Nothobranchius furzeri: one gene and its partners. The protein of the gene in region 2 purifies or fractionates together with the protein of the main gene of each other region. This does not show direct contact. Links are inferred from orthologs where the notes say so. Each region holds a gene or a part of one and is shown on either strand. Other genes may lie near its edges.

Region 1 (6,971 bases), on a different chromosome or scaffold from region 2:
GGGTTGAAATATAACATGTTGGTGGAGCTGGGGTCCGACTATCGGCTTGTGGAGCTCTCGGAGACCTCTGTGTTCCACCCGGTTTTACCCAGCGGTCAGCCCGGCGTATCTCTGACTCAGAAGCTCTGGTGTTGTGCACAGTTAACTCCGGTTGTAGCTAGGTTGCTACCTCCGTTAGCTTAGCTCCCACCTCCGCGTTAGCTTTGGGTTAGCTTGTAGCTAGTTAGACCGGGTGTCGTCAGTTGATCCCAGCCTTACAGCCCCACCCTCAGCTCCACCTCTCTTCCCTTTTATGGAATTGTCTGGGCTTGACGGAACCTGTGACACGGTCAAAATGGCGGTGGTGGCCACCTCCCATTTATCTTCAAAAGCGTGTTATTGGGGCTATGGAAACCCATTGTCCAGTATATTAATGTCGATGCTCTAAACAGAAAGGAAGGGCACATCGATGCAGCAAAATGAGCCAGTGGGCCACTCTGGTTAAGGGGAATAAACAAAAAATAACAACAATAATAATCAATCTTGGGCCTAATGAACCGATTTTATGAAATTTATATGAAATCAATCCAAAATCAATGAAATGGATATTTTTACCCAGCCCTAGTCCTGACCGAGGTCACTGTGAGCATGGTGGTCACCAGACTCCTGTCCACGGTCGGCGTCAAGGTTTCAGAGATGATCGAGCAGTTTAACCCAGGTTACCATGACAACTACCTACCTGGCTGATCCCACTTCACCACCATGATGGAAAAGAAGAATTAGACAACTTTTAAGGTGTGTGTGTGTGTGTGTGTGTGTGTGTGTGTGTGTGTGTGTGTGTGTGTCTCTGGACACAAATAAAATTAACATTAGAATATAATACATGATCGAATTAAAAGGTATGACTGAACAACAAGAAACTATTTTTAAAGAATAAAACATTTTCTTGGTGTTAAAGCTTACATCCTTTATTAGACATAACTGAATTATTAATCTGGTAAATAAACTAACTTTAATATCTTCTATCTTCACGCTAAAGCAGACCCTCAGAGCTGTCATGGTCCCTGACTGGAGCAGCCGTGCTACAGAGGCGTGCCTTGGTGTCTCCTGCTATCTCCTGAGTTATGATTGGAAGATGAAGCGCTTCAACCTGGCCACCATGCCTCTTGTGAACAAGTCATGTTTGGTTTTAGGTGCCTAGCTCCGCCTGACTGCAGCATTTGTATTAACTCGTTCACTGCCACTGACGACTAAAGACGTCATATGCATGTTTTTAGTGTGTGGGCGTCGGACGAGCCCCCGCGCCGAGAGAACAAACATCTCAGCTCTAAAGCCGATCTTCATCCGCATACGTCACGTGATCAAGAAGCAGAAAATCCTTGTGTCAGGAGATCGTTTTGGGCCGTTCCTGTAAAAAAAGTGAGGCGCGAAGCGGAAAAGCGTCTGCCGTCCACAATTCCACAACAGATTATGAAAGAACGCAGGGTTCCCCCAGCGCTTTAGAAGCCCGGCGGCCCGCCAGGCTAAGCGTCAGGCCCCGCCCCTACCGTGTCCGCTGACACGAACGGCGCAACACAACTAAAGCCCTCCATCAGCTGATACTGGTAAGAAACAGCAGCGGAACGTTGCTTTTTATCACACGGCGTTATAAATCCAGCGGGGCGAACTCTGCCAGTGTCGGCCAATGAGGAAGACGGGGACAGATGTGATGTGTTTACTATGGATGGACACTTCACCATGGAGGACGTGTGGTACTGTCCACTGTAGATGATTATTTACAATATTACTGCTCCAACGTTAGATGACGTGTTAACATTAGTTTCTTTAGTGCGAGCGTCACTGTTGAGTGATACCTTGTGTGAACCCGGTGTGAGAGCAGCGGCTGAACCGTGACACCACCACCAGCAGGATCCGGACTTCTTAAAGTGTAAAGTGAAACGACGTTTTAAACAGTTATGAAGCCAGCTAGGTGAGTTTCGGCAAAGTCTGCACCTTGTTTCCACCGGCTAACGGCCGCAGACGGAACTTCAGCTAACGTCTGTAAGCGGTTAACACGGAGCTTTAGTAAAGGCCACTCTCGCTGAGCCCCACCCAGGTGCGCCACTTCTTCTGTAACCAAACTGGGCTTGGACCAGTAGAAGGAACGCTAAATGTGGCAACAAACAACTACAATGAAACACAATTTCAGGCTCCACATTTCCCCTTGTTTAGTACTCGTGTCGCTCACTGTTCACGTGCTTTTGCAGACCAATATGGTCGACTCACGTGATTAGGTGGCGTTGGTGCAAAGGGTCAATAGAAAACAAGTAAATGTTACACCGTTGGTCGGCTAAAACAGGTCATCAACAACAAGTCCCAATCCAACAGGATTTACTGCTGAAAACATGTCACACAAAGTTTTCAGCTTCCTCCTACTAGCGCAGCGCTGGGCAACATGCCGTTTCTAAAACATGGACAGAAACCTGGTTCAACAGCCAGCGGTTTAGCCGACTCATCGCTGGAGTCAAGAAAAACCGGGATTTTCACCCCAGCGGTAAAAATCGTACTTTTACAGATTATTATAATTACAGTTGTTTAAAGCGGTGGTGCAGAATACCAACCCTGCTCCGGAGATAATCTGCAAGGTTCTTCCGTGTGAAGTTTGCTGCTGCTGTTGGACTGAGTTCATAACCTAAAACCAGGAAACAAGCATCAGTAATTGTTGGTGACAAACGGTGAAACTAAGGAAGAGCGCCACAACCACATCATACCATTTCTCATCTTGTACAGCTGAACGTTCTTCTGGATGTACTCCGCGAACTGCACCGTGTCTCCGGCCTCTCCGACACACAGCAGCAGGATCTTTTCACTCAGCTTGAACATTTTGTCATAATCTGAGACACCAAAGAACAAAACTCAGTGTGAAAGTCATCCTCTGAAAAAAGCCAGATGTCAGCACCAGTCGCCCCAAAAACAGAAACCAGGTCCGGATTCAGGCGAGTGATGAGAAAACATCACTTTGAAAAAGAACCAGGAGGTTGGACTGAAGCATCCCTTCAGATCAGATTCATTTACATCTAACTTTAAACAACGATCAGTAACACATGTGCACTGTTTTAGATCAGAACCAGTTTGATTTGGTTTCTGTTGAACACAACCGGACTTTCACTTTCACCGCCGGGGTCGCTCACCACGAGATTTAGCAGGCTAGAATAAAGCATATAAACATCCTAAAGCTCAGAACTAAACTCAGAAGCTAAGTTTGATTTCTAAAAGGCTCATCGTACCTCTCATTGGCCGGTAATGGCTTTATTGTCTTACTTTTTAATCTCCTTTGGCAAATAAAATGTGACAAATGGTCATTAATGCGTTAGAATGAAACAGCAAATCCTAAAATATAAAGACTTATACGCAGACACGCGTCTGACAAACAGAAACAGAATCAAATGAGAGAAGAGCTAATGCTAAGCTAGGTAGCTAACACACCGTGTTTCATCTGAATGATGCTGCTGGCGGCCACATTATCGGCTGCGACGAGAACGAAATCCGGTCCCTGTATACCGATTAAATATTCCATCGTCTCCAACCGAACCAACACGGAATAACGGTGAAAATCAGGTGAGACAGCAGTCAAGTATGAGCGTCAAGCGTCCGGATTACACAGCAAAAACTTTGCTCTTCCACTGGCGCGGCTTGTTAGAGTCACGATGATGTTGTCGTCATCACCGTGCGACTCGAGCGGGTAATTTCGAAAGTGGCGCCGTTGTTTGAGCAACCGGAGGAGATTCAATCGAAACCGAGTGAATAATTCGCTGTTAGTGGGCAGATTTCAGCATGGACGAAGGCTCGCCTCATGGGGCGATGGCGGGAGCTAACGGTCCTCTCGGGCCGCAGCGAAGACGCTCGCCGCGGTTCAGTTCTCCGCAAGCTCCGCTGGGAGGTGAGAAGATGGCGCTGGGAATTAAACGCTCCATCACCGTGCGGAAAATAGCGCCCAGAAAAACGAGCGCTTCGTCTAAACACAACAAGGAGAACACGCCGAGGCACTCCGAGCAGGTACAGCAGCTGAAGACCAAAGTCTCAACCCCCGATCCCGGCCCGGACCGCAGGGCCTCCTCCTCCGCCGCGAGGAAGAAGCAGCAGGCGCCCATGCCCTCACGGATCCTCCCGTCCTCCCCACCGGACTCCTGTCGGACCCAGCAGCCGGCTGCTGAACCAGAGGCCGGCGTGTGTGCGCAGAAAGCCCGCCGGTCCTATAGCAGGCTCAGCGACAGTTCCCTCCACAGTAGCCCCGACTCCAGAGAAACGTTATTCGGCTTCGAGAGGCTGAGGACCCCGGAGGTTGTCCGGAAGTCCAAGCAGACCAGGGACGCTCTGGAAGTTTCTGGACCCATCACGTCTTTCACTGAATCGACCGACGAGGGCTTTGCTGAACCGGACCCGAACATCCCCGGAGTGTCGGTGTCAAAGGAGCGGAGGAGGAGGCGGAAGGTGCCGCAGATTGACTCGGCCGAGCTGGACCATCTGGCCGCTCAGATGAACGCGGAGTTCCGGGAGGCCGAGGAGTTCGAGTTGGTGGTGGAGTAGAACCGAACCCACCAGAACCAGCGTATGGATCTTTGACTGGAGGGGTGGTGGGGGTGTAAATACGTCCGGGACTCTTGATGGATTGTATATGTAGCTCGTGAAGGTTTTTTTCTCTACACCATCATGGTTCGGTCCATTTGGACTTCCTGTGTCGGCTCTGTAGCTTGAGAGTTCTGGATAAATCAAAACGGACTTTGTTCTGGTTAAGCGGTTCTGATCAGATCCCAGACCGGTTCTGATGCAGTATTCTTTACTGAATAAACCAGAGAAACAACACGAGCCCAGTAGAACCGAACCAGAACCAGAACGTCTCTGCTGACAGAGTTGAACTGACTTCAGGTTAAAGCTGCTTTTCTGGCTTTGTGGAGTTTTTTGTTGGACTTTTCCAGGTTTTCCTGTCAGTTTTCCTTTCTGCTTCCTAATAAACCCACACTGAAGCAAGCACCCTGCCTGTTGACCTGTTCACACGTCACTTCAGATTAGAGTTAATCTGGGCTACAGTTAACCTGGGTTATAGTTAATCTGGGCTACAGTTAACCTGGGTTATAGTTAGTCTGGGCTACAGTTAACCTGGGTTATAGTTAGTCTGGGCTACAGTTAACCTGGGTTATAGTTAGTCTGGGCTACAGTTAACCTGGGTTATAGTTAATCTGGGCTACAGTTAGTCTGGGTTAGTGTTAAACACAAACAACAACATTGACCATGATCACACATTTACTGTGTTTAAAACCAAACTTCAGACCAGAACACACGATTGGTCACACACTCCATGACATCAGCACTTTACCTGACAGCATTAATTTAAATATAAACAACCCTGGTACTGATGAAAGGGTGAATGTAGATAACACATTTACTGTAATTCACATCATTGTGTCTCTCAGTGAACACCTGGTCCGTTCAGAGGACTTAATCCAGCGCTTTACTATGAATGAATGAATTTAGGTAGAAACCAACAGCTGACCTCGGTTAACAGAGGCTGAAGCTAAAGACAAGATTCAAACCCTAAAACACCGTGTGTGTGTGATATGGACAGCAATTACATCAGACAAACCAGATGCATGGTTTCAGTGTGTTAGCATGAATGCTAATTTGCAGCACTTGTCCACAGACACCTTTTGTAAAAGGTAGAACACATTTAAATAATCAAATCAAAGAAAAACAATTAAAATTACAAACATTTTCTAAAAATAAAAGGCTACTTAAAGAGCAAGTCACCCCCAAATCAACTTTTTTTGCTGATAAACTAAATAAACGAGTGTCTAATCGTGCTGCAGACACGTGTCGTCAATAATTTGGCACTTCAGTGCATCTTAGTTAAAATTTAAATATTCTACCTAAAACTGGCAGTGTTGTGCCATCGTCAGGTAAAAACTGCACTGCATTTGAATTTAAATCTGCCACCGCTATTGGCTAAGAGGTATGCTATGATGTAAACTGGTACATTATGATGTCACAATGCCATTGTGAGCCTGAGTGTGTGTGTATTTGTTGGCGGCTCCACCCTCTCGGTCTGCTAGGCAACAGCATGTGTTGCATTTTTCAAACATGAAGTGGGAGTGAAGTAAGTTTCTTGTGGGGGGGTGACTTGCTCTTTAAACAGCAGATTAAACGAGTTTAAAACTATTCATGTGGACATTGTTCTTTAGACTTTAGCCTTTTTTTGAGTCCTTTGTTAGAAACATACTCTCAGCGGGTAGGGAGTTTAGTTTTAGCTCAGCGGGTAGGGAGTTTAGTTTTAGCTCAGCGGGTAGGGAGTTTAGTTTTAGCTCAGCGGGTAGGGAGTTTAGTTTTAGCTCAGCGGGTAGGGAGTTTAGTGTTAGCTCAGCGGGTAGGGAGTTTAGTTTTAGCTCAGCGGGTAGGGAGTTTAGTTTTAGCTCAGCGGGTAGGGAGTTTAGTTTTAGCTCAGCGGGTAGGGAGTTTAGTTTTAGCTCAGCGGGTAGGGAGTTTAGTTTTAGCTCAGCGGGTAGGGAGTTTAGTTTTAGCTCAGCGGGTAGGGAGTTTAGTGTTAGCTCAGCGGGTAGGGAGTTTAGTGTTAGCTCAGCGGGTAGGGAGTTTAGTTTTAGCTCAGCGGGTAGGGAGTTTAGTTTTAGCTCAGCGGGTAGGTAGTTTAGTTTTAGCTCAGCGGGTAGGGAGTTTAGTTTTAGCTCAGCGGGTAGGGAGTTTAGTTTTAGCTCAGCGGGTAGGGAGTTTAGTTTTAGCTGAGCGGGTAGGGAGTTTAGTTTTAGCTCAGTGGGTAGGGAGTTTAGTTTTAGCTGAGCGGGTAGGGAGTTTAGTTTTAGCTGAGCGGGTAGGGAGTTTAGTTTTAGCTGAGCGGGTAGGGAGTTTAGTTTTAGCTCAGCGGGTAGGGAGTTTAGTGTTAGCTGAGCGGGTAGGGAGTTTAGTTTTAGCTCAGCGGGTAGGGAGTTTAGTTTTAGCTCAGCGGG
Region 2 (7,302 bases):
TGACAGAAAAACACAGAATATTAGACATTTCTGCAGATTTATAAAAAAAAAATAAACCTGAAATATCACATGGTCTTAAGTATTCAGACCCTTTACTCAGGATTTAGTAGAAGCACCCTTTGACCTAGTACAGCCGTGAGTCTTCCTGGTAAAGATGCATCAAGTTTCTTACACCTGGATTTGGGGATCTTCTGCCATTGAATACTTTCTGTACCCGCTGTATATTTACTGTTTCCTATTTCTACTTGTGCAGAGGGAGATTACTCGTAAGCTGACATTCCCCAAACAGCCCACCAACCCTTTCCTGGAGATGGTAAAGTTCCTGCTGGAGCGGATCGCACCGGTTCACATCGACTCCGAGGCAATCAGGTCGGAGAAAATCCTCAAAGATTAAGACAACAATACTAGAACTGGCTTGTTTTATGTTGCGGTGATTTTAAGTTTTTTAATTTTATTGAGGTGAACATTTTTTATTTAAATGTGTTTTTAAATTCTAGTTTTAGTTTTCAATCACAGAAAAGAGAAACTGTGTCTTCAGGTTTCTGAACCTGAGTGCTTAATGTGTGTGTGTGTGTGGTTGCATAACACTGAGCTATCATCATTCACTGAGCCACCTAGCGGTGGTCATGTGCAACTGCAACTCCAGTCTCCGCTCCTCTTTAACCCTTTCATCTTTTTGGGAAACCACACTAATAAATGAGTCCAGACACACGTGTGGATTAGGGATGTTGTGTTTTTGGTTCAGTGCTCTGGTGAAGCTGCTAAACAAATCCATCGAGGGAACAGCGGATGATGACGAGGAAGGCGTCACCCCTGATACAGCCATCCGCTCCGGACTGGAGCTACTCAAGGTTTGATCGAAACCAGAGAAAACCTTGAAATGGCCCTTTACAGTTGGATAATTAATGAGTTTCCCTCTGCTTTCAGGTCCTGTCATTTACACACCCCACAGCCTTTCACTCGGCTGAGACCTACGAGTCACTGCTGCAGTGTCTAAAGATGGAGGATGACAAAGTGGCAGAAGCAGCCATCCAGATTTTCAGGAATACCGGGCAGAAGATTGAGACAGAGCTGCAACAGATTCGATCGTAAGAAGATGGATGCGTTGATCCTTTCATGTGTTTGTGTTCTAAATAATTGACGCTTAGTTGGATTTGACACAGGTTTCCTCAGTTTGACAAGATTGTCCATTAAAAGAACATTAAGATGCCTCTGTGAGAATGAACATGTAAATGAAAGATTTCCTGTTGTTCTTCAGGACACTGATTCCCATCCTGCACCAGAAGGCCAAACGAGGAACACCTCACCAGGCCAAGCAGGCGGTCCACTGTATCCATGCTATTTTCAACAACAAGGAAGTGCAACTGGCACAGATTTTTGAAGTAGGGAATAATTTCATGTTGGTCTGTAGGGATCAAACTTTTCATGTTAAGTGTTTTTATTGGTGTCACCAGACCGTTTATGTGTCAGGATGTGTTCATCTTCCTCCACAGCCTCTGTCACACAGTCTGAACGCCGACGTCCCGGAGCAGCTCATCACTCCTCTCGTCTCCCTGGGCCATATAGCCATGCTGGCTCCAGATCAGTTTGCATCACCGATGAAATCCATTGTGGCTAACTTCATCGTGAAAGACTTGCTCATGAATGACAGGGTGTGTGCAGCAGCCATCCTTTCACCTAAATCAGGAGTCACACACACACACAAGGCATCAGGAGTCACTTTTTTTTTTTTTACCTGTCTGGCCCGTTTAGCTTTAAGCTTTAGCATCTTTTTTTAAGTTGTTACAAACTGCATTTTACTGGGCAAATACATACAGCTGTAAATAAATGACATGTGTGTTTGTTTACATAAAGAAAGCAAAGATGTGGTTTATCTCTGTGTCTTCAGTCAGTGGGAAACAAGAACGGGAAGCTATGGACCGCTGATGAGGAAGTTTCTCCTGAGGTCTTAGCAAAGGTACCTGATTACAGATTGCTGTTTGGGCCCTTTTTAAAATATTAACAAACAGATGTTAAGTGTCACAAGAAACAAAAGACACGTTTCCCCTCTGTCCTCCAGGTCCATGCCATCAAGCTTTTGGTGCGCTGGTTACTGGGAATGAAGAACAACCAATCCAAATCGGCGAACTCCACCCTGCGCCTGCTGTCGGCGATGCTCGTCAGCGAGGGAGACCTGACGGAGCAGAAGAAAATCAGGTAGCTCAGCTGAGCTCTCAGTCACGTGTGGCAGCCATCATTCCCCATGAGACTCCAGACTTTAGCTGCTTCTGTCCTCTTTCTCCCAGTAAATCGGACATGTCTCGTCTGAGGCTGGCTGCTGGGGCGGCCATCATGAAGCTGGCGCAGGAACAATGTTACCATGAAATCATCACACCAGAACAGTTTCAGCTCTGCGGCCTCGTCATCAATGTCAGCGTCACTTTTACAAATATTTTTCATTCCGTAGTTTATTGGACTCTAGCGTTCTTAAAACGTAAACAACCAAGTGATGGATGCATCTTAAGGCATGCTGAATCATTTCACACAAGTCCCACAATGTGCTGTGAAAACAACTTTCTTACAGCCAGATGTCTAAAACATGAGCTCCATGTGAGCAGTTGGTCTCATGAGCATCTTAACTCTCCACAGGACGAGTGCTACCAGGTTCGTCAGATCTTTGCACAGAAGTTGCACGTAGCTCTGGTCAAGCTGCTGCTGCCCCTGGAGTACTTGGCCGTTTTTGCTCTGTGTGCCAAGGACCCGGTGAAGGAGCGGCGGGCCCACGCCCGACAGTGCCTCCTCAAGAATATCTCCGTCCGCAGAGAGTACATCAAGCAGAACCCCGTCACTCAGGGTCTGTGGTCATAATTCATAATTCAGCTGATGTCTCTGGTTGTTCTCATTAAAAGGAATTTTCATTTTCCCACCAGAAAAACTCATCTCCCTTCTTCCTGAATACGTGGTTCCTTACATGATCCACCTGCTGGCCCACGACCCAGACTTCACCAAACCGCATGAATACGAACAGCTGAAAGACATTAAAGAGTGAGTGTGTGTTGTGTTTGTGTCGAGCTGAACGTGTGTGTTTCAAACACGGCTTTTTTTGTTGTGAATCCTGAAAACCAGACAAATGTGGTTTAGCTACAGCTTGAATCCTTTTACGCTTTGCTTTCTTCAGGTGCCTGTGGTTCATGTTAGAAGTCCTGATGACCAAGAATGAGAACAACAGCCACGCTTTCCTTCGGAAGATGGTCGAGAACATCAAGCAGACAAAGGACGCTCAGTGTCCTGAGGATGTGAAGGCCAATGAGGTGTTTGGCACATGTGACGTTAAAAGATTTAATCTGGTGTTGTAACGGGCAAGCAGAATGTGGAAGTCTGACATTTAACACATCCATTTTTGTGAAAGCAGGAAGTTGATTTGTTTACTTTCAAATGATTCTTACCGGGAATCTTGTGACCTTACAGAAACTGTACATCGTCTGTGACGTTGCACTATTCGTCATCGCTAACAAGAGCACCGCGTGTCACCTGGACTGCCAGAAAGAGCCAGTCTTACCCTCAAAGTTCTTCCTTGTACAGGACAAGGTCATACCACACACACACACACACACACACAGAGATGTACATTATATAGTGTGCTCATAATGTTTTGGGACCTTAAGCCATTTCTAACACTAAATGCATGTTGTCATAACATTTCAAATCCTAGTGTGTGCGTGTGCGTGCTTGTACGTGTGTGTAAATAGATGGAGAGAGAGAAAATAATGATTTTGTAATTTTCCTTGTCAGGATTTCAAAAACGATAAGGAGTACCTCACGGCAGAGATGAGACAGATGCTGCTCACTGGAAAGGTAAACGATCAACACTGGAGTGTAAATCTTGACACGAGTTACTCTAGTTTTCAACTTATGGGAAGTTTAATTTGGAATAGCTCGGCAGCAGTAGTTCAGGAGGTTGAGCGGGTTGTCAAGTAATCAGGCTCCTGTCAGAGAATGCTGCTGTTGTGTCCCTGGGCAAGGCACTTAACCCTCCTTGCCTGTAGGTGGTGGTTAGAGGGACCGGTGACGCCTATGTTTGGCAGTCTTGCTTCTGTCATTGCGTCCCAAGGCAGTTGTGGCTACATTGTAGCTCATCATCTCTCTCTGTGTGTGTGTGTGTGTGTGTGTGTGTGTGTGTGTGTGTGTGTGTGTGTGTGTGTGTGTGTGTGTGTGTGTGTGTGTGTGTGTGTGTGTGTGTGTGTGTGTGTCACTCTAGTTTATCATCTCAGCTGGTTCTGATTACAAAAAGGAAACTTGTTGCCGTGTTTACTTTATTTTTTAAATAGTTGCAGGCCGGAGCACGGCTGCAACTCCCCACTCCTCCCTCTGTTGCACCAAGGCGTAATATGCGTTCACAAGTCTGGCATTGCGGTAATATGATTACCAAGCATGGCGGCATGAATGCCACAAAACTCCCGCTACGCCATGCCGCCACGTCACATGCATGACACGCCGTGGCGGCAGTGTTATGCGGATTTGCCGGCATGGTGTCTTCTAAAAAGGACTTCAGATTGATAGGTTGTGAGATGGAAAACATTTGCAACAGCACTGTTTTGTTAGGTGAATATTTACTGTGGGGTGCTTGTTTTAAATTGGAACCGGTAAACTTTGACAGAATTATATTTGAAACAAAAACCAATGATGCATTTTAAAAGTTTGGTTTTAATGTTTTTTATCCTGCAGCCAAAACCAGCTCCAGTGTTGGCCGCTGTCAACAAACCTCTGACAGTACCAGGGCGGAGGATCTTCAAGACCCCCACAGCTTCTGACACATCCAGTAATACAAGCACCAACGCCTCTCCTATCATCAAGAATAGGTAAGCACACACACACACGCACACACACACACACCCACCACCTTTGCCTAACCAGAACTGCCCAGTGCTGTCCTCTTGGTCCACCAGGCAATCCCTCCTGTTGGTGCAATTTTCAAACAGGAAGTGTGAGTGGAGTTGGATTCTGGTAGGGGGTGATTTGCTCTTTAAGCTCAAAACCAGTGGATTGTCAGACTTCGCACCTACAACACTGAGTGCATATCCATGTCTTCAACCAACCACTTACCACCACAGCACTGTAAATTATCAGACCGACACTACTGACATAGGGAGAACCACACCACCCATCTTATGGAGGACAGACTCGAAGCTTTGTTAAACTTACCACTTCGCTCAACTGTGGCACCACTCATTGTCAGTTTCACATGGACAGTTACGAGAGAGAGAGAGAGAGAGAGAGAGAGAGAGAGAGAGAGAGAGAGAGAGAGAGAGAGAGAGAGAGAGAGAGAGAGAGAGAGAGAGAGAGAGAGAGAGAGAGAGAGAGAGAGAGAGAGAGAGAGAGAGAGAGAGAGAGAGAGAGAGAGAGAGAGAGAGAGAGAGAGAGAGAGAGAGAGAGAGAGAGAGAGAGAGAGAGAGAGAGAGAGAGAGAGAGAGAGAGAGAGAGAGAGAGAGAGAGAGAGAGAGAGAGAGAGAGAGAGAGAGAGAGAGAGAGAGAGAGAGAGAGAGAGAGAGAGAGAGAGAGAGAGAGAGAGAGAGAGAGAGAGAGAGAGAGAGAGAGAGAGAGAGAGAGAGAGAGACCCTCATATTTGTCTCTGTTCTCTCTGATTTCAATAATCTCTTGGTCTCCAGTATTATGATTTTGACTACAACACTATTAATTCTTTTTCTGTCTTTCCAATTGATCAATCAAACCCAATTATTATGCAAAAAGAAAGCTGGGATGCTTAAAATTGGCTTTTTACCAGTGCACCCTAAATATTATAAGACTCTTAAATTATGATACCGTTATGAACAGAGATCTTTTATATAGCGCCTCTCAACATAACGATCATGAGGCGCTTCATGAAAACAAAAAAATTAAGATATTAATATTTCTAAAAATGATAAAAAATGATCATCTACCTGATGTGATGACTTATACAAAAGCAGTTTTTCTACTGTTTGTATTATTTTGACCAAAATAACAATCCCGGGCAAGCCCTCAATTTTTCACGCCTGGCTCTGGTGTCCACGACTAAAATTACAACATTCAATCAAACTGTTGAATCAAGCTGTTGATAGCTCAGTCATAAAACTATTTGTTTCATTTACTTTGTTTTACAACAGCACTACTACAGAATCATCAGAGAGTCGAGCGCAGGAGAACAACGAGAACCCGGTCATCAAAAACGAAGAGGTGAAAAAGATAAACGCAGATGGGTGCAAAATATTTCCTAACTTCACTCCTCGTTCTCCTAACTCGACATTTGTCGTTGTCATTCAGGATGCATCCGATCAGAAATCAACCCCCGACACTGGGACCGATGGGTCACCTGTCAAACGGCGTGGCCGGCCTCCTAAAGCTGTGGCTGCTGCTTCTGCAGGAGCAGAAAAAGAGGGCACGGTGCCGTCAGCGGGGGCTGGAGGTGGCCGAGGAAGGAAGAGAGCAACTGATGCGTCTGCAGACCCCCTCAACATCAAGATGTCAAAACAGCAGCTGCAGCAGAACGATGAAGGGACAAAGAGACAGATTGATCTGCAGAGGTAAAAGTGCAAAATGCCGGATCTCAGCAGCTTGAATTGTTGTTTCTCAGCAGATGATTCTTTATAAGCAAACAGGCGTGCCTGAAAAAGAGAAGGGATTGGAGGATTTTCCAACTTCAGCTCAGTGGAACAAAACTTTTAAGGGCAGTTTTAATATCTAACTGAAATCTAAGCTTGACATAGACAGGAAGTAAGAGGGTCTTTTGTTTTCTGCAGCCTCTACTAGGGCCAGATTTTAATCACAATTACCATCTGGGTTTTGAACAATAACAAAACGAGCTGATTATTTGTTCCTCCCTCATGTGCTGCTCTGAGTTGCAAATCAAGCGCATCTCCCACAGTGTTACCAAATGTGTCGCTTTTCATATCCCCCTTTTTGACTTTTTATCCTAAAAGCACCCAGCAAATAACGTGGTAACATTTCTGATAACTAGCTACTTTGTCATCGATATTCCCCGCTGGTTAGCAAACCATCAGGAGAGGTAAACAAGTTCACATGTGCGGTGTATGTCGTCTGACTAATCATTCTCTGCGGATCTCACTCATTAAAACACTTTTTTGTGAGCTAAATAAATTCGAGACATAGCGAGTCGTATCTGAAGTGGATTTATATTTTATCAGGGCTGCAAATTCTCTCACGATAGGTGTGAGACACACATTTGACGTTTGTCTTCATGTGCTCTCACACCACACCTCCAGTTTCTCACACAGATAAGTAATAGTAGTTCATCTTTCTAAGCGTCACATTGCATCGTGCTGCTGT
Region 3 (7,302 bases), on a different chromosome or scaffold from region 2:
GTTGTTGTTGTTGTTATAAAATTCCTAAGGTTAGCTAGCATGCCATTAGTACATTTAAAAAAACATTTCCAAAGACGTCCCTAATTTGTGTATTCCACAGAGGGGAAACGAGAAAAGATCAACGAGCTGTTGAAGTACATCGAGGAACGTCTACACACCCTGGAGGACGAGAAGGAAGAGCTGGCTCAGTATCAGAAGTGGGACAAGATGAGAAGAGCTCTGGAGTACACCATCTACAACCAGGAGCTGAACGAAACTCGAGCAAAACTGGACGAGGTAATGTGGTTTAGAGCGGGGGTCACCCACCTGGTGCCCCTAGGTACTAGATGAGGTGCCCACAGGCCTTTTCTCCAAATGGCTTCTGCTGCCATCATTTATAATCACAAATGCATTAATAGAAATTTAAAAGTCTATTTATTAAACATGATGTTTAGCTTAACGCTGATCTGTTCTAGTTCAAATGTCACTATTGCATCAGCCTGGTTGCCCTTCCAACGGCTCGATAATTGTGAAGTAGCTCTCAGCTTCACCTAGGTTGGTGACCCCTGTTTTAGAGGGTTGTAAAGATGATAAATGAGCAAAAACAACATTTCCATTGTAGAAGATATTCATATCATCTACTGAACTTTAATGTTATAGTTAAGTTTTAGTAGCTAAACGTTGAAGAGGAAGAACTGATTTCTGTAATCGCTCCTCTCCATATTCCTGAGACGCTTCACAAGAACAAAGAAAAGACAAATTATTTAAAAAAAATAACAAAGAATCAAGGTAGTGATGGAACTGTTTACAGAACTTACTGATTTAGCTTTTATTGATTCTATTCTAAGACTTGTGTTTTGTTTGGGTTTTCTCCAGTTGTCCAGCAAGAGAGAGACATGTGGAGACAAATCCAGACAGCTGCGAGACGCTCAGCAAGACGCTCGAGACAAAGTGGAGGTAAAAGAGAAAAATCTCACACTGTTATTAATATTAGGATGCATAAGTGGAGTTTTGAGCTGATGGAGGAAAGATAAGGAAAATAACTGCAGCAGTCGTCCTTTAAACATGTTTTTGTTTACTCAGTAAAACTATTGATTATTTAGTTGGTTCTCAGTTTGAATTATTTTAGCATTAATAAAAAATAAAACTACAATAATTTACATACTTTGTTACATGTAGCTGTTAGTATTTGGTTATGTGGAAAGTAAATATGTCTCCCACAATTCTTTGTAGGCGTTTTCTTTTCTGCTTGTTTTGTGAAGAAACCTGTCCCTTTTAAACTTTTGGTTGCCGTGTTTTAGGAGACGGAGCGCGTTGTGCGTGAGCTGAAGTCCAAAATCTCCGCTATGAAGGAGGAGAGAGAGCAGCTATCAGCAGAGCGCCAAGAGCAGATCAAGCAGAGGACCAAGCTGGAGTTGAAGGCCAAGGACCTGCAGGATGAGCTGGCAGGCAACAGCGAACAGAGGGTACGGAAGCCTCGGATCTGCGTCACGCTCCACACGTGATGATGCACCAACACCGCTCCCCTCTCCTCCATCCTCTTCACTATTACTGAGTCTGCAGTCTTTACTCTTTCCAAGCACATTTTCACCCCAGCAGCTGCTTATCATAGATTAGCTTTCAGTTTGTTGAGAGGCTAATAAAAGGTTTAGAATGAGCACCGTAACTTATAGTGGTGAAATTAATGTAGTTTACCGCCTTCTAAATGAATGAATTGTTAAGGTGATTTAAAAACAAGACCAGATGAACACGTTAAACCTTAGAAGGGAGGTGGCTGAGTTTAGGTAAGGCATCAGTTTTTTTTAGAAAAAGGCGATTATTGTTCATATGATGCTTATCCCCTCCCTCTCTGCTGTGCTTCAGCTGCCTCTGCAGAGGAGGTGGTTATGCACATGCGGGCTTTTTATGATTATGGCTGAGACAAGTTGGAAATTAGGGTTGGCATTTGCTTGTTAACAACCCAGTGAAACATAAAACAAATACTCTAGCCGTTTTTACAAAACAATTCTGTCAATTTGCCGCAGCGCTGTGTTGGCATCAGGGAGCCTTAGGTTAAGTTGTCAGACCGTGGCGGTAATGTGGCGCAATTGTGTCCTTTGTATAAAAGATTATATAATATATATTATAAAAAGATCGTTAAAGTTTTTTAACAAGTCGCCCGTAAAGATGTCTGTCCCCATCAGTCCCTGTGCAGTCTCTGATGATCTGAGCTTCTGCTCTAACAGAGAGACGCTCACGGAGTGCTGCAACGCTCCAGTTTGCCTTCTCAGCTGATTTTGTTCAAAAAGCAAAGCTTATTGCCCGTGCCCGGCATGGGGAGGAATTATGACACGTCTCTAATTAAAGTAAAATTTTCTAGTACAGTGTGGAGACAACCCATAGAAGCACTGATTTGATCTCATTTCAGAGAAAAATAGAACAGGTCAGATGCATCTAATAAATAAAATTACTAACGAACTCAGGAATCTGTTTCTTTGCTTCACTGTTCTGGTGCTGAGAACATCACTAATGCAGATCAAAGGAGATACACAGATGAATGCACCTCTTATTTATTATTTGGAGACTACATTTGCTGCAGCTGGCAGAGGTAGAGATTTTTTCTATTGATACACGTAATTTACAGAATCATTTTAAATGTTAACAGGGGAAGACTGCAGGAGGGAGCGGTAAAATACAGGGGGTCCCCAGCAAAAACAAGAAACTTTACAAGTCTGATGAAACCCGCTGGTTTTCCATCAGGCAGTCACGGGGCAGCTCCAACGACCCAGTGACTGTGCTGAGTCAATGTTATCGAGCTCAGTCCGGCTCGGCCGTGAACGAGCCGAGGCGACGTCGTGCTCTGCTTAAGAAGAAGTGTTATTTTCCTGCTTCAGAAGAAGCGTCCAACGTGTTTTTACGCTTTCTCCGAGACATGTCACGTCGCTAAGTTGTTAGCGCCGCACGCTAACACGTCAATAGTGCAACGTAGCCTGCTGGAGGTTTTAAGGGTTCAGATGAAAACACTTGACCTCCCAGGCTGCTCACACATCGATCTTAAGTTGTCGCTGTTGCGCTCACGCCGTAATACAGTATTAGATGCGGTTAAAGTCAGACATGAAAAAATAAATCAATTTTACATGAATAAGTGATGCTTAGCCTGGTGGGGGGAGGAAACCCTGTCAAGATCGTCAACACTCGTTTATCTTAATGCTATTGAAACATGTAAACCAAAAAGCATTATATCCACTGCTACCATTCTAATTTTAAACTCAGTAACTTATGCTGTAACTTCACCTTGCCCTGCCTGCTCCTCCTTGCTGCCCGCCGGCTGTGATCACAAGCAACAACATAGTAGTTCCTGCTGCTTCTTCGGGAAACGGCGCAAAAAAAAACAAACTTGGGATCTTGTAGGCGTGGCGGTGGGATTTCAGCTGTGGCGGGCCGCCACGGCTACGCCTATGTAAGGGAAACCCTGATGTGTGATGCCTCAAAAAGCGTCACCTGCTCAACTATTAAAACCACTAGCAGGGTGAAAAAAATCGAAATATTGTAGCACAGACGGGCTTCAACTTTTGGATCAATTTTATACAAACTGTTTTATTAATTATCTTCTGTTGAAAGATAACTTTGAGGCACATGAGCGACTGGTATTGGTTGCTGTCACCTGTTGTGATCGGTTAAAGCAGTTCTCTGCTGTCAGAGGGTAGGCCCCGCCCACAACGCTGCGGCTCCCAGTGTTTTCTTTACTGTGGGAAATGGGTAATAATGTCTCTTTGATGGGGAAAGGTTGCCGACCCCTGGTTTAGACGTTGCTGCTTGATAAAAAGTGTCTGTGTATCTTTTTCAGTCAAAAAGTGAGAATCCCCGTGTGATGACTTAGGATGTAAAATGAATCATCTCCATCAGCTTCACCGTCCATCCTTCTTGGCTTCTGTTTTTATGTACTCAGTTGGCTGAGCTCGGTGTCCATATGGCCTTGTGTTTAATGTCTGTGAGCACGTGTGAGTACAAAGACCATAATCAAAGGTTTTCTTGGCTCAGTCTGTGTATGAACTATGTTGGGTCACAGGCAGCCTGCTGGCTGGTGGTTGGATTAAGCCCACCTGGCCATGGCTGACCCAACACTCGCCAAAAGGCGCCAGGGCAAAAGGAAAGGCCGCTCTAGTTGTATGTTTGATCAACTTTGAAGTGGTTGATCCAGGAAAGGGGAAAAAATATATTTTTACTGGAGCAGGGTCGGTGTGGATGATATGGAAAATAATTATTTGTGTGTGTGCATGTGTGTGTGTGTGTGTGTGTGTGTGTGTGTGTGTGTGCGCGTGCACTTCTCCAAGCACAAATAATGCCCTTACTATAAAACATGCTCCTTTTTGCAGATAGGTGCACTTTCTTTCATGATTTTCTTGCAAAAACTAAATTAATCTAAATAAAATGTAGTTTTTCTTTGCTGGTCCATCAGTTATTTACCATCTATAAGCTCTCATTGACTCATTTCAAATGTTATTGGATGTGGAGGGAAGAGCAGTCTGCGGTGAGCGGGGCATTATGAGTGTATTCTAGTGATGCAGACAGCTTACACTTTACTAACTTGGCACATTACGCATCTTCTGTTTTGTTGGCCAAACATTTGCTAAAGCTCTCCTGTTCTTTCAGAAACGACTGCTGAAGGAGCGTCAGAAACTGCTGGAGAAAATTGAGGAGAAGCAAAAAGAGTTGCAGGAGACTGAACCCAAATTCAACATGGTGAAGGAAAAGGAGGAGCGCGGCATCTCCAGGTAGGGATGAGTCATTCTTATCTACACGGCACACTTGATGAGTCAGTCATCACACTGGAGCATCAGATTTGACTAATCTTCTGCAAAGTGTCCTGTTTTCATGTTTTAAATGCAAGTAATGCGATTTTTGTTTTAAGTGTTTTCACTTCAAAAGCTCAAACACAAGAATGTTCTTGTTTATTCATGTGTATAGTTCCATATCATACAGAATTAATTAGCTTAACTCTCAAGGATAAATATCCTGATTGGGAAGGATTGTTGCTGTCAAATGTCTATGAACAGCTTTGGATGTGGTTCTTCTCAGACTGGCTCAAGCTACACAAGAGAGGACCGACCTGTATGCTAAGCAGGGTCGTGGCAGTCAGTTCACCTCCAAGGAGGAGAGGGACAAGTGGATCAAGAAGGAGCTGAAGTCTCTGGACCAGGCCATCAATGACAAAAAAAGGCAGATCGCAGCCATCCACAAAGACCTGGAGGACACGGAGATGAACAAGGAGAAGAACCTTGAGCAGTACAATGTAAGACGACTCGACTGTTCCTGGATCATTTTGGTTCTAAAACACTAAACCAATCACCCTTTGTCCTACTTGTGCCTTTTAATCAGCTTCATGTAGCTTAAACAGACACCAAGATTGTTCATTTGTATTGATTCAAAATGCTAAAATATTCTCTAGTTTTTCTGGTTCAACTTTGTCTGACCCACTTTTTACTTGTGACTTCAGAAACTTGATCAAGATCTGAATGAGGTCAAAACCCGCGTCGAGGAGCTGGACAAAAAATATTACGAAGTGAAGAACAAAAAAGATGAACTCCAAAGCGAAAGAAAGTAAGTCACCTCATATTTACCTTAACGTCAGATTTTATAAATAACCGTCGTTGACTCGGTGTATGAGGCAGTTCCTGTCTACCTGAATTTCTCCTGTAAACCCGTGACTGAGAGTTTAAGAGCACATTTAAAGGGATATTCAACCCAAAAGTAAAATGTTGTCTGACATACTTAATACACAAGGGCATACATTTTTTCCTCAATTTACAAATAGGGTTGGGCATCGTTTGATTTTGAACGATTCCAATTCCAATTCCCCGTTTCGATTCCGGTTCCTATCGATTCCCGATTCCGATTCTTTCAAGACATTCCATGTTTTACATGAGCCAGCTAACCACAGGTCCTACTTGATGAAATAATCTTAACTTCAACATGAGTTTTAATTCTATGAACAATAACATCACCTTCATTTAGACAGAAACGTGTTTTGGAGGGAAGAAAAAGACTTGCAGCACAACCAGTGTGTTTGTTTCTGACCACAACCAAAGTCTGGAAGAAGCGTCTGGGATGAGAGGCTAAATGTCTCCAACGTGTCCAGGAACATCCAGCTGTTTTCCTACCTGCAGCAGCATTCAGTCAGAACAGAAAGTGAAACTTAAATGTAGCTGCTGTCAGTAACAATCTAACAGATTTTAAACATTAAAACGCAACAGAAATAGTTCAGAAAGGAAATAAATTTTTTTATTTATTATTATTATAATTATTTATTGTGGCAGAAGCTGGTGTGGTCCACCACAGAGAAGCTGCTCTAGCATGATGACTTATTCTACTGGTTATTGTTCAGCCTTCTGACGCTCACACACACACGCACACACACACACACACGAGTGTTGGTGAGCGGCTGCGTCTGACTGCTGACGCTCCGTGTGTGTTTTTATTTCTGCAGTGAGACAAACTCACCTCACACCGTCCAGAGTTTGTTCTTTAAAACTTCTATTAAATCCACCGTGTTGATGTATTTAACATGTTTCCTCTACGCTGCAGGAATTAAAGTTTACATTACGGAGTTAAAGTTCAGCAGATGCGTTTGTTTATATCTGGCCACTGGGTCGGGGGGGGGACTCGGTGCTGCACACAGACAGCTCGTGTGATCAGCTCTGCAAAGCGTTGATCACAATTTGCAGATCACGTTTATTTTTCACGGAGATCGGCCGCGGATTCCTCTTCCGTCTGCATTCTAGGAATAAACAAAAAACTTTGAACGATCCGGGAAAAATGAGCAGTTGGAACCTTGTGAGAATTTAGTCCTAAATTTAAAAATGAGAAACTTTTTTGTTAAAAGCATAATTTCCTTCTATCCTCTTTAAAAACCCATAAACATGACCCCCCAGGTTACAAGGAGTGAATATCAAGGCTCAACTCGGGCTTCTGCGCCTCTAGTGACATAAGCATAACAGGTTGCGACTGTCTGATTCTGTCCAGCTACCTGTGGCGTGAGGAGAACGCGGAGCAGCAGGCTTTGGCAGCCAAACGAGAGGACCTGGAAAAGAAGCAGCAGCTTCTTAGAGCGGCCACCGGCAAGGTCTGTGTCACTCTGCAGGACTGCGTGATTATCAACTTGCATAATGGAGCTACAGGATAACCAATACTTCCACCTGGGCAGCAGTGAGACATCTGCACTCCGAAAGCAAAGGAGCTTCCAGCTGATTGGACGCAATAACGAATGCATGGGACTTTACTTCATGCACAAATATCCCCTTTTTCATCGGGTGGAACTATCACATCAGGGTAGTTTTAGCATAT
Region 4 (8,007 bases), on a different chromosome or scaffold from region 2:
ATTGGAATCTGTTTTGAATTTGTTTTTATTGCCTTCATATGGGCTTGATAGCAGTCTGGTGTTGTTGAGCCAGGGGCTGTGCAGGCTGACCTCAGAGACAGAAGCGTGAGCCAAACGGAGATCTGACCCTCGATGCAGATGTGGGGTTTGGATAAACACGCTCGATTCTTTGTAAAAGAGATTTGTTCACCACATAAATGTTGGAAAAAGATGATAAAGCAATCCTTGTGGAGAACTATGGAGACCAGCACAGACTGCACAAACAGCTTTATAGACTCCTTTGAGTAAAATCCTTCAGGAGCTTTTCTTTTCATTTATTTTTAACTAATCAGATGTATTGTGTCTGGTTTGAAACTTCCACTCTTTAAAGATATACTTTACAACGTTTTTATATATTTAAATCATTTTCTTGAGAGAGTATGTGCTAAAATGACCCTTTTTATACTCTATGATCTTTTTTCATGAAAGACCACACAGCCCCCATCACCCCCTGTGGCCAGAATATCACACTTGCAACTCCAGAGTGCCGGTCAGGTCTGTTGGGACTTGGGCCTAGTCCACACGTAGCCATTTTTTTTTAAACGAATATCCGCCCCTCCAAAAACTTGCATCCACACCACCGCGTTTTAAAAACAAACTCTGTCCACACGTACCCGGATAAATACGTTGTTAAGGACATGCCAGACCTGTAGGCGGCAGTACTTCCCCCGTTCTTAACCTCGTCCTTCGTCTGTGGTCTTCCGCAAGGAGCAGTAATTCCGCTTGCAAAAACAAACAAGCAAAAAGCGCTTGGACAATTGATAAAGCGAGCGCAGCTCTGAGGGCATCCATGCTGTCGGCTAGTGTAAGCACAGGTTGCACACGTGATGTCAGCATTTTTTTGTCCCGGAAAGTGACGTTGCGGAGCTTAAAACTCCGGTTTTGTCTGTCCACACGCAGACACCCAAAACGGAGAAAACGCAGATCTTCACTTTGGCCGGAGTTTTTAAAAAGATCCGTTTTCGTGTGGATGACAAGCCAAAATGTAGAATAATATCTAAGTTTTGGCAGATCCCCGGCTACGTGTAGACAGGGCCTAAGAAAAAGGAACTGACATACCTGGCGCTGCAGTCTGGTTCCAGAATGTTTCCTGCATGATTTAATCATGAACACAGCTGATTTAATTTATTGATGAATCACTTCTATATACACTAATAAAAGCTGGGGAGACATGTCAGCTGTTAGATTAAGGTGTTAAAAAGGCGAATGCATAGCAAGGAGGTATGTTTTGTTTTTGGTTCTACAAATGGACACTAGGGGGTGCTAAAAGCAAGCCAAAACTGAGTGCATTTAAACATCTTGGTTAAAAGCAAATGGAGGAAATTTGGTAGGATTCAGCAGTTTGCTTCCCAGTTTTCACATTTGAGCTGCAGACCAAGTCTCTTAACAACCATTGGACGGTCATCCATCTTTTTGTTTCCATTTGGAAGCTTTACTACAGAGAGGGGCTTTCCGTTGATGGTTAGCTTCCATGATTAATGACCAGATATTATTTTTGGAATTCACTGGACATTCTTTTTTTTTTTTTTACAATGCAATATGCACTAGATGAGTTTAGGTATTTGGAAACAGAAGCAGAACATGAAATGCAGCCTAAGTAGACACTAAATAGGGGAAAATGCTCAGCTTATACATGAGAAACCGTTAGTATTGCTGCCATCTGCTGGTTCTGTCTCAGAGTTGCAATTGTCGATTTTACGGATCTTGATTCAGTCTCAAAAGGTTGGAGCAGACACTAAACTCTGTTATTTGGCTTTACCGTGGCACAGATCCCTGACTTATTTGATCAAAGCCTACAAAATATTCAGATTATCACACACATTTTAAAAACTGGACTCAAGCTTTCCTCCAAATAAAGTCATAACTGCCAGACTGCCAAACCACGAGTTCATTATACATGCCATGTCTGTATTGCATCACCATCTCTGGGACCCTGATGTGAACTGACAGCTCCTCTCTGGGTCTAGCTGTAGACAAATGCCAGAAATATGTGAATCTAACACCGTTTGGATACAGCAATGTTTTTAGTAAATGTTGGACAGTTACAAAAACAATTCTGTGACTGAGAAAATCTTTGGTCAAACTGTGATCTATGACTCTTCTGGAAACCAGACACCTTAAAAAGGTGTTGCCACTTTAATGTGCACATTCGCTTCTGGGGGACAACAGAGATCCCACAACATATTTATCTTTCATATACAGAAAATGCATTATTTATTTTTCTTCATGTGAGGAATAATACAACTTTAAGTCCTAAATAACTTTTTGAACGGCGCTCATGTGAAATTAGAATCACCTTCTTTCTGAGTCGTTTCCACAGAGGACCTGTGACCTGAAGGAGTTATCATGTATGTCTAGGATGAGTGATGGTCATTTTAGTGTTGATGTAGTTGTGACCACTTTGTCTTGCTGACCCAGGGCTTAAGTTGTATTTATATTCCAGTTGTGCCCCCTACAGAGTGGTTCTGGTGAATGACTTGCATTTTGGTAAACAAAACAATCAAAGAACTTTAGGTAACCAACACTTACTCTTTTGACTGCTGTTTTACAACCCTAGGTGGGCAATAGTTCATCATTAATAATATTTGAAAAAAACATCTACCATAGAGTAAAATCACCATGGTTTAAAACCATTTGCAAGCTTTAAACCCCAATTTAGCAATTTTCTGCATGTAGCATCGTTACCTGCATTACTCGGCACGGTGTCCAACTTTAAAACTGAACGTGATCCTGCAGCGCCCCCTGTCAGCCTGGTTTTACTTTAAAATTTAAACCAATCAGAGACGCGTATGTTGACACAGTCTCGAGGCACAGGGGAGTGTTCCTGCTGCTGATTGGACAGTTTTTTTTCAACAATGTAGTACGTGATTAGGATGTCTTTCCAACCATCGAGGAGGGAGGGGATATTTTAATGGCCGTCACTTGCACTTAAAAAATACAAAAACTCCGGATTATCAGCTATATTTAGACAAGTACAGCTTCCTATACATTTTAGAACGCCTTTCTTTCGCAATAAACGCAACATCTAAAACATCATTAAATTAGAAATGTGTTTGTAGTGCCTTTTCCGTTGCTCTGAACGGACTTTACCCGCTTGATTTGTGCGTGAGTAGCTGGTTAGGCCTCGCCGGCTGTCTGGAGACGAGACGATTAGCTGGAGTTGAAAGGTAGAAAGTCTTCTTTGCTTTTGCTTTATACTGAATATCATATTAGATGCCAATACTAAAAGCTACCTTATGGGTGCTTGGTCGTGTTTGAAATACGGAGTTTCATGCTTAAAATGGAGCCATGTTAGAAATGTAAACAAGAGTCAGGTTAGCGTAGTTAGCTGTGCGGAAGCTAATAGCTAACTTCACAGTAGTTAACTTTACATGCATGCCTAACTAGTTATCAGGCAGAGACAAGTTACCTACACGGCTAATGTGTGACAAAAGGCCGTGTATTTAACTCCCAAGTTTAATGAAAGTTTATCAAAATCCTTTTTCTCTCGTGTAACCTAGACAAACGACATTCGAAGCTAGAGCTAGCAATGCTAACTTTGTATGCTAGCAACTATCAGTTGACTCAACTAAAACTTGCAGGCAATATTTTGAAAGCATTTTAAGTGTATATATTTTTTTACCTGTCGGTTAGCAAGTAAAATCAATAACATTAGTAAATATATCGATTTCTGAAGTGTCTTGTTATAAAACTTATCTAGGACATATACATTGAAATCCCATTAGGACCTTCAGAATAAGATAACGAACAAGACCGGGTAGTTTTTTGTGAGAAAGTCAAAGAACGAATGGATCGATTGTTGACATTTAGGTAATTCTCTCTATAAATAAAAGTCTAGTTGTTTATAGTTTGTAAAATGTGTTTTAATTTACCCTCAACGCATAAATGACCCCAGTTTTAACCAGAGTAAGAAAAAGTTTGAGATAACAGCTGAAGTCTGAACATTATTTGGAAAAAGAAACTAGTAAGCATCTTGTGACACATGCAGCTTTTTTCATAAACTTAATTTAAAAACATCTAAGATCATTTTTGTTCTTTTAGATGTGCTTGTATGTGAAGGTTCAAATGATCATGTTGTTAACTTAATGCATGTGTTAAATATTGAATGGTCTTTACCTTTATTTACAGAGAATATGTAACAAACAACAACCAGCATGACATCAAGATTTGGTAAAACATACAACCGCAAGGGAGGGGAGGCAAATTCAAAGTTTGAAGAAGTCTTTTCCAATAAAAAGCCCTCTCTGTCCACCAAATGGGGAGAAACTACATACAAGGCTCAGCTGGGAACCAAAAGGCCTCTCTTAAAACCCGGTGTCCCTGAGGTCTCAAAGAGACCCAGGCTTGAGGACAGTGACAATGAAGAAGACCCATTTGGGTTTGACAGCGATGAAGAGTCTAAAACTGTAGCCTCTCACAGTGAGTCTGGTGCGAAACTCATAGAGGAGGGGGTGACAGAAACTGCTCAAGTGCAAAGTAGAGTAACTGCTGCTGTTGTGACTGCCACACAAGGCTCTGCAAGTATACCTGCTACATTCGCAAGTGAGTGACAAAAAATGTTTTATGTTGCATCATTTTCTTTTCACTATCTTTGTCTCTATTTTTTATTCCAATTCTTACACTCAGTTGTGACTTCTATATTATCAGTTCTGGTTCGAGACCAAACTATATATCGGGCCAATATATTAAATTTTTTCTGTACTGTATCGGCCATTAGCCGAAACTATTTTTAAAAGCCAACAAAAAAACAATCAGGCACCTGTGTGGCCAACTACTGCCACTACTAGGCTGAAGAAAGGACCCCAACACACTTATTTATTAATTTTTTTTTTAATATTTTGAGTTTGTTTTGTATTTGAAGTTCAATAAATATTGAGAGTATTATATATTGCACACAGTGAATGTTCAGGTGTCTTTCACAATCATTGTGCTGCTAAAACGTGTATATATACATATATATCTATATATATATATATATATATATATACATATATATATATATATATATATATATATATATATATATATATATATATATATATATATATATATATACACATACATATATCAGCCTTAATAATCAGCTTTAGATAAATATAAACATATCAGTCTGCCTCTAGTCCTGGTCTTTTACTATGATCACTCATAAATTTCTTTACACTTTTAGGTAACCAACCATCAGAGAAGAATGTTAAAAACAACCAGCCCTGGTACAAAAGTGCATTAGAAAGCAATCAGAAACCAGCATGCCCGACCTCGTTTTCAGACACGGTTCTTTCTCAAAACCAGAACATCTCCGTGTCGCAGACAGCTGCTTCCTCTACTTCTGGTTTAGACTCCTCCCTCAAACTGTCAGCTGATGCGCCAGGAGGTAGCAAACACTTTCAAACTCCTTCCTCCTGTGATGGATCTTTATCAGAGGAACTAAAGATGGTGGTGCCCATGGAGCCTCCACCAGAGCCAGTAGACAACATTCCCCCATCGCCATTCACTCTAAGAGCCTCAAACTGCAAGAAATACCAGCGGCCCAGTCGGCCTGATAAAATTCTATCTGAAGTTGCTGAAAACGACAACGAGAAGCTGACCGACATAGCGAGTGTTCAAGATAAAACCAACAGTGTCCTTTCTGCTAGTGCAACTAATACTGCTGCCAGTGTTAAAACAGCAGCTAAGCCTGCAGGCAGAGGTGGTGGGAGGGTGCGAGACTACACAGTTCTGCATCCCTCCTGCGTGTCAGTGTGCAACGTTACTATCCAGGACTCAATTGAGCGGAGCGTTGATGAGTTAGTCCCCCCGGCTACCCCCGCTGACCTTGGAGAAGCAGGGCTTATGAAGAAGAAGTCTGATGCACAGCCACCTAAATCTACTCGGTAAGATGTGTTTTTATCTGTCAGCATTTTAAAATGATTCATAAAGTTGTGATGTTAGTATTCAGTCTGTTTCAAAGAGATTGGACAAATACTTTATTTCTAAATTTACTGTTGTTAATAAATTAATCCTTTTAGGTTTAGACCCACCCAAGCAAAGGTAAAAAAGACTAAAACGGAGACAAAACTGGAGTTCTTTGGCTTTGAGGCGGAAGATGGTGAGCAGGAAGAGGAGAGCTCGGAGAGTGGAATGCCAGGAAAGAGCAGCTACAAGATCAAGTATTTTGGCTTTGATGACCTGAGCGAGAGCGACAGCGATGACGAGAGCTCTCAGGTCAAAGAGAAAAGGGCCAAGAAGGCAGCTTTAGCTTCCCTGAGCTCCGGGGTGGACAGTCCTCACACGAGTGATTCTCAGGACAGTCAAGCCAGCAGCAACACAGGTGAGCAGATGAAAAGTTATCTACTTTTGAGATCACTGAGTTTTATAAATAACTCCCTGGGATGTGTCAAGTAGATGCTTTTGAGTTCTCTGACGACTCCAGCCCCGCTGGCGTCGATGGACCGAAAGGACGACCGACGAAGGCGGGTGACAAATCCAAGGATTCCATCTGTGGGTTAAAAAAGATATTTAGTGGACCCAAAAAGGTATTTTTTTTTTTTATTTTTTTTGTTCCAAATTTCTTTGAATTGTTTGTAATCAGATTAAGGTACCAGATTACAATACTGAGCAGCCATAGTCCATTTGGACTTCATTTCATCTAATCAATCTCATATTTACGTGTTGAATGAAAGGGATACTGTGCAGTTTTGGGTTGCTTTAGCACCACCTAGTGTTTGTTAAGGAAATCAAAAGGCAAACTGATCTCCTTGTTGTGTGTTTGTCTTTTTAACAACCTAATCTAACCGCTGAAATGTCTCCTCAGACTTCATTAGTTTCTACAGGAGTGATTTATCACTAAATGAAAAAAATCAGCCGTGTTCATGATCTAAAACATGCAGGAAACATGCTGGAAGCAGACTGCAGCGTTGGCATGTCAGCTTCACTTTACTAAGTCCAACAGGGAACAGCCTGCCTCTCTGAAGTTGCAAGTGCGATATTCTGGCCACAGAGGGCAGTGGGGGTCTTTTCATTAACCATGTAAAGGTTCATTTTGGCACATATTGGCTCAAGAAAATTACAGAAAAAAATCGAGTTGTATAGGCTGACTTTAATCTGACAAAGTCCATTCAAAGTCCATGATTTTTAAAAATCGGTTATTGTTGCAGTTTTGGAAGTTGTAACTACACTACAACACACACACACACACACACACACACACACACACACACACACACACACACACACACACACACACACACACACACACACACACACACACACACACACACACGTGGCTGTTCTCAGGCCTGCTTTAATCCAATTCCTCTGATGTTTGTGATGTTTTCATCCCACATTTCTTTTTTCCTTATGAACAGTGCTTTGCTGCAGCATTGGGTGTATTTATTTTTTTCGCTTATTTCTGTGTGGTTACACTTTCCTACAGCTGAACTTTCTCCATTGTCTGTAATATGTGCTTTAGTCACACATTGTGTCTGCTACAGGAAATGTTGGTGCTACTTGTCCCAGTTTATCAACAGCATAGGATCATCTGCATGAACTGTAACCTAACCACCTCCATTCTGTTTTTACAAGTACAAATGAACAATGAGGGGTTTTATTTATGTTCGTTATGCAGCTGGTTGTTTAAATTTCAGTGATGAAAGTTGTTATTGGTTGTGTAAATAGGACCATGGTGTTCGTTTTGAGGCTGCATTTCTGTCAAACTAACAGTTTAATTCTTCCTGTGTTCCAGTCCCCCTCTAAAGCGGTGTACAACGCTCGCCACTGGAACCAGCCAGAGCCCGAGGAGGTACCTGCTCCTCCCCTTTCCCGATCACACACTGCTCCGGTGAGATATTGTGCTCGACTTTATTGCACCCTTCTGAACACTAATCAGTGGCCACTGGGTGAAAGGCTGTCTGTGTGAAGCATATTTATGACTTTATTTTGAACATTCGTGTGGCTGTTTGTGCAGCATTAAGGCAAATGCTATTAAAGGCT

Evidence for each region.
Region 1: the proteins of pds5a (region 2) and cdca5 purify together in Homo sapiens (affinity purification with mass spectrometry; 4 studies listed by BioGRID and IntAct, with this or other methods). This does not show direct contact. The link is inferred for Nothobranchius furzeri from reciprocal best matches to the Homo sapiens genes PDS5A and CDCA5.
Region 3: the proteins of pds5a (region 2) and smc3 purify together in Homo sapiens (affinity purification with western blotting; 8 studies listed by BioGRID and IntAct, with this or other methods). This does not show direct contact. The link is inferred for Nothobranchius furzeri from reciprocal best matches to the Homo sapiens genes PDS5A and SMC3.
Region 4: the proteins of pds5a (region 2) and wapla purify together in Homo sapiens (affinity purification with mass spectrometry; 6 studies listed by BioGRID and IntAct, with this or other methods). This does not show direct contact. The link is inferred for Nothobranchius furzeri from reciprocal best matches to the Homo sapiens genes PDS5A and WAPL.

Annotation. Positions count from the first base shown.
Region 1 is NC_091759.1:26,795,690-26,802,660, reverse strand, and holds cdca5 (sororin), read left to right. Parts: upstream 1-3,792; coding exon 3,793-4,545; 3' UTR 4,546-4,987; downstream 4,988-6,971. UniProt on the Homo sapiens protein: Regulator of sister chromatid cohesion in mitosis stabilizing cohesin complex association with chromatin. May antagonize the action of WAPL which stimulates cohesin dissociation from chromatin.
Region 2 is NC_091747.1:79,464,968-79,472,269, reverse strand, and holds part of pds5a (sister chromatid cohesion protein PDS5 homolog A), read left to right. Parts: intron 1-253; coding exon 254-369; intron 370-745; coding exon 746-851; intron 852-927; coding exon 928-1,088; intron 1,089-1,258; coding exon 1,259-1,382; intron 1,383-1,493; coding exon 1,494-1,652; intron 1,653-1,888; coding exon 1,889-1,957; intron 1,958-2,059; coding exon 2,060-2,196; intron 2,197-2,285; coding exon 2,286-2,409; intron 2,410-2,628; coding exon 2,629-2,833; intron 2,834-2,909; coding exon 2,910-3,024; intron 3,025-3,157; coding exon 3,158-3,290; intron 3,291-3,447; coding exon 3,448-3,567; intron 3,568-3,771; coding exon 3,772-3,834; intron 3,835-4,704; coding exon 4,705-4,838; intron 4,839-4,925; coding exon of another isoform or gene 4,926-5,175; exon of another isoform or gene 5,176-5,285; intron 5,286-6,122; coding exon 6,123-6,192; intron 6,193-6,279; coding exon 6,280-6,539; intron 6,540-7,302. UniProt on the Homo sapiens protein: Probable regulator of sister chromatid cohesion in mitosis which may stabilize cohesin complex association with chromatin. May couple sister chromatid cohesion during mitosis to DNA replication.
Region 3 is NC_091744.1:4,680,704-4,688,005, reverse strand, and holds part of smc3 (structural maintenance of chromosomes protein 3), read left to right. Parts: intron 1-100; coding exon 101-276; intron 277-855; coding exon 856-936; intron 937-1,280; coding exon 1,281-1,445; intron 1,446-4,611; coding exon 4,612-4,733; intron 4,734-5,037; coding exon 5,038-5,251; intron 5,252-5,455; coding exon 5,456-5,559; intron 5,560-6,981; coding exon 6,982-7,081; intron 7,082-7,302. UniProt on the Homo sapiens protein: Central component of cohesin, a complex required for chromosome cohesion during the cell cycle. The cohesin complex may form a large proteinaceous ring within which sister chromatids can be trapped.
Region 4 is NC_091752.1:29,578,951-29,586,957, forward strand, and holds the start of wapla (wings apart-like protein homolog), read left to right. Parts: upstream 1-2,993; 5' UTR 2,994-3,206; intron 3,207-4,167; 5' UTR 4,168-4,193; coding exon 4,194-4,581; intron 4,582-5,206; coding exon 5,207-5,909; intron 5,910-6,044; coding exon 6,045-6,346; intron 6,347-6,420; coding exon 6,421-6,551; intron 6,552-7,759; coding exon 7,760-7,855; intron 7,856-8,007. UniProt on the Homo sapiens protein: Regulator of sister chromatid cohesion in mitosis which negatively regulates cohesin association with chromatin. Involved in both sister chromatid cohesion during interphase and sister-chromatid resolution during early stages of mitosis.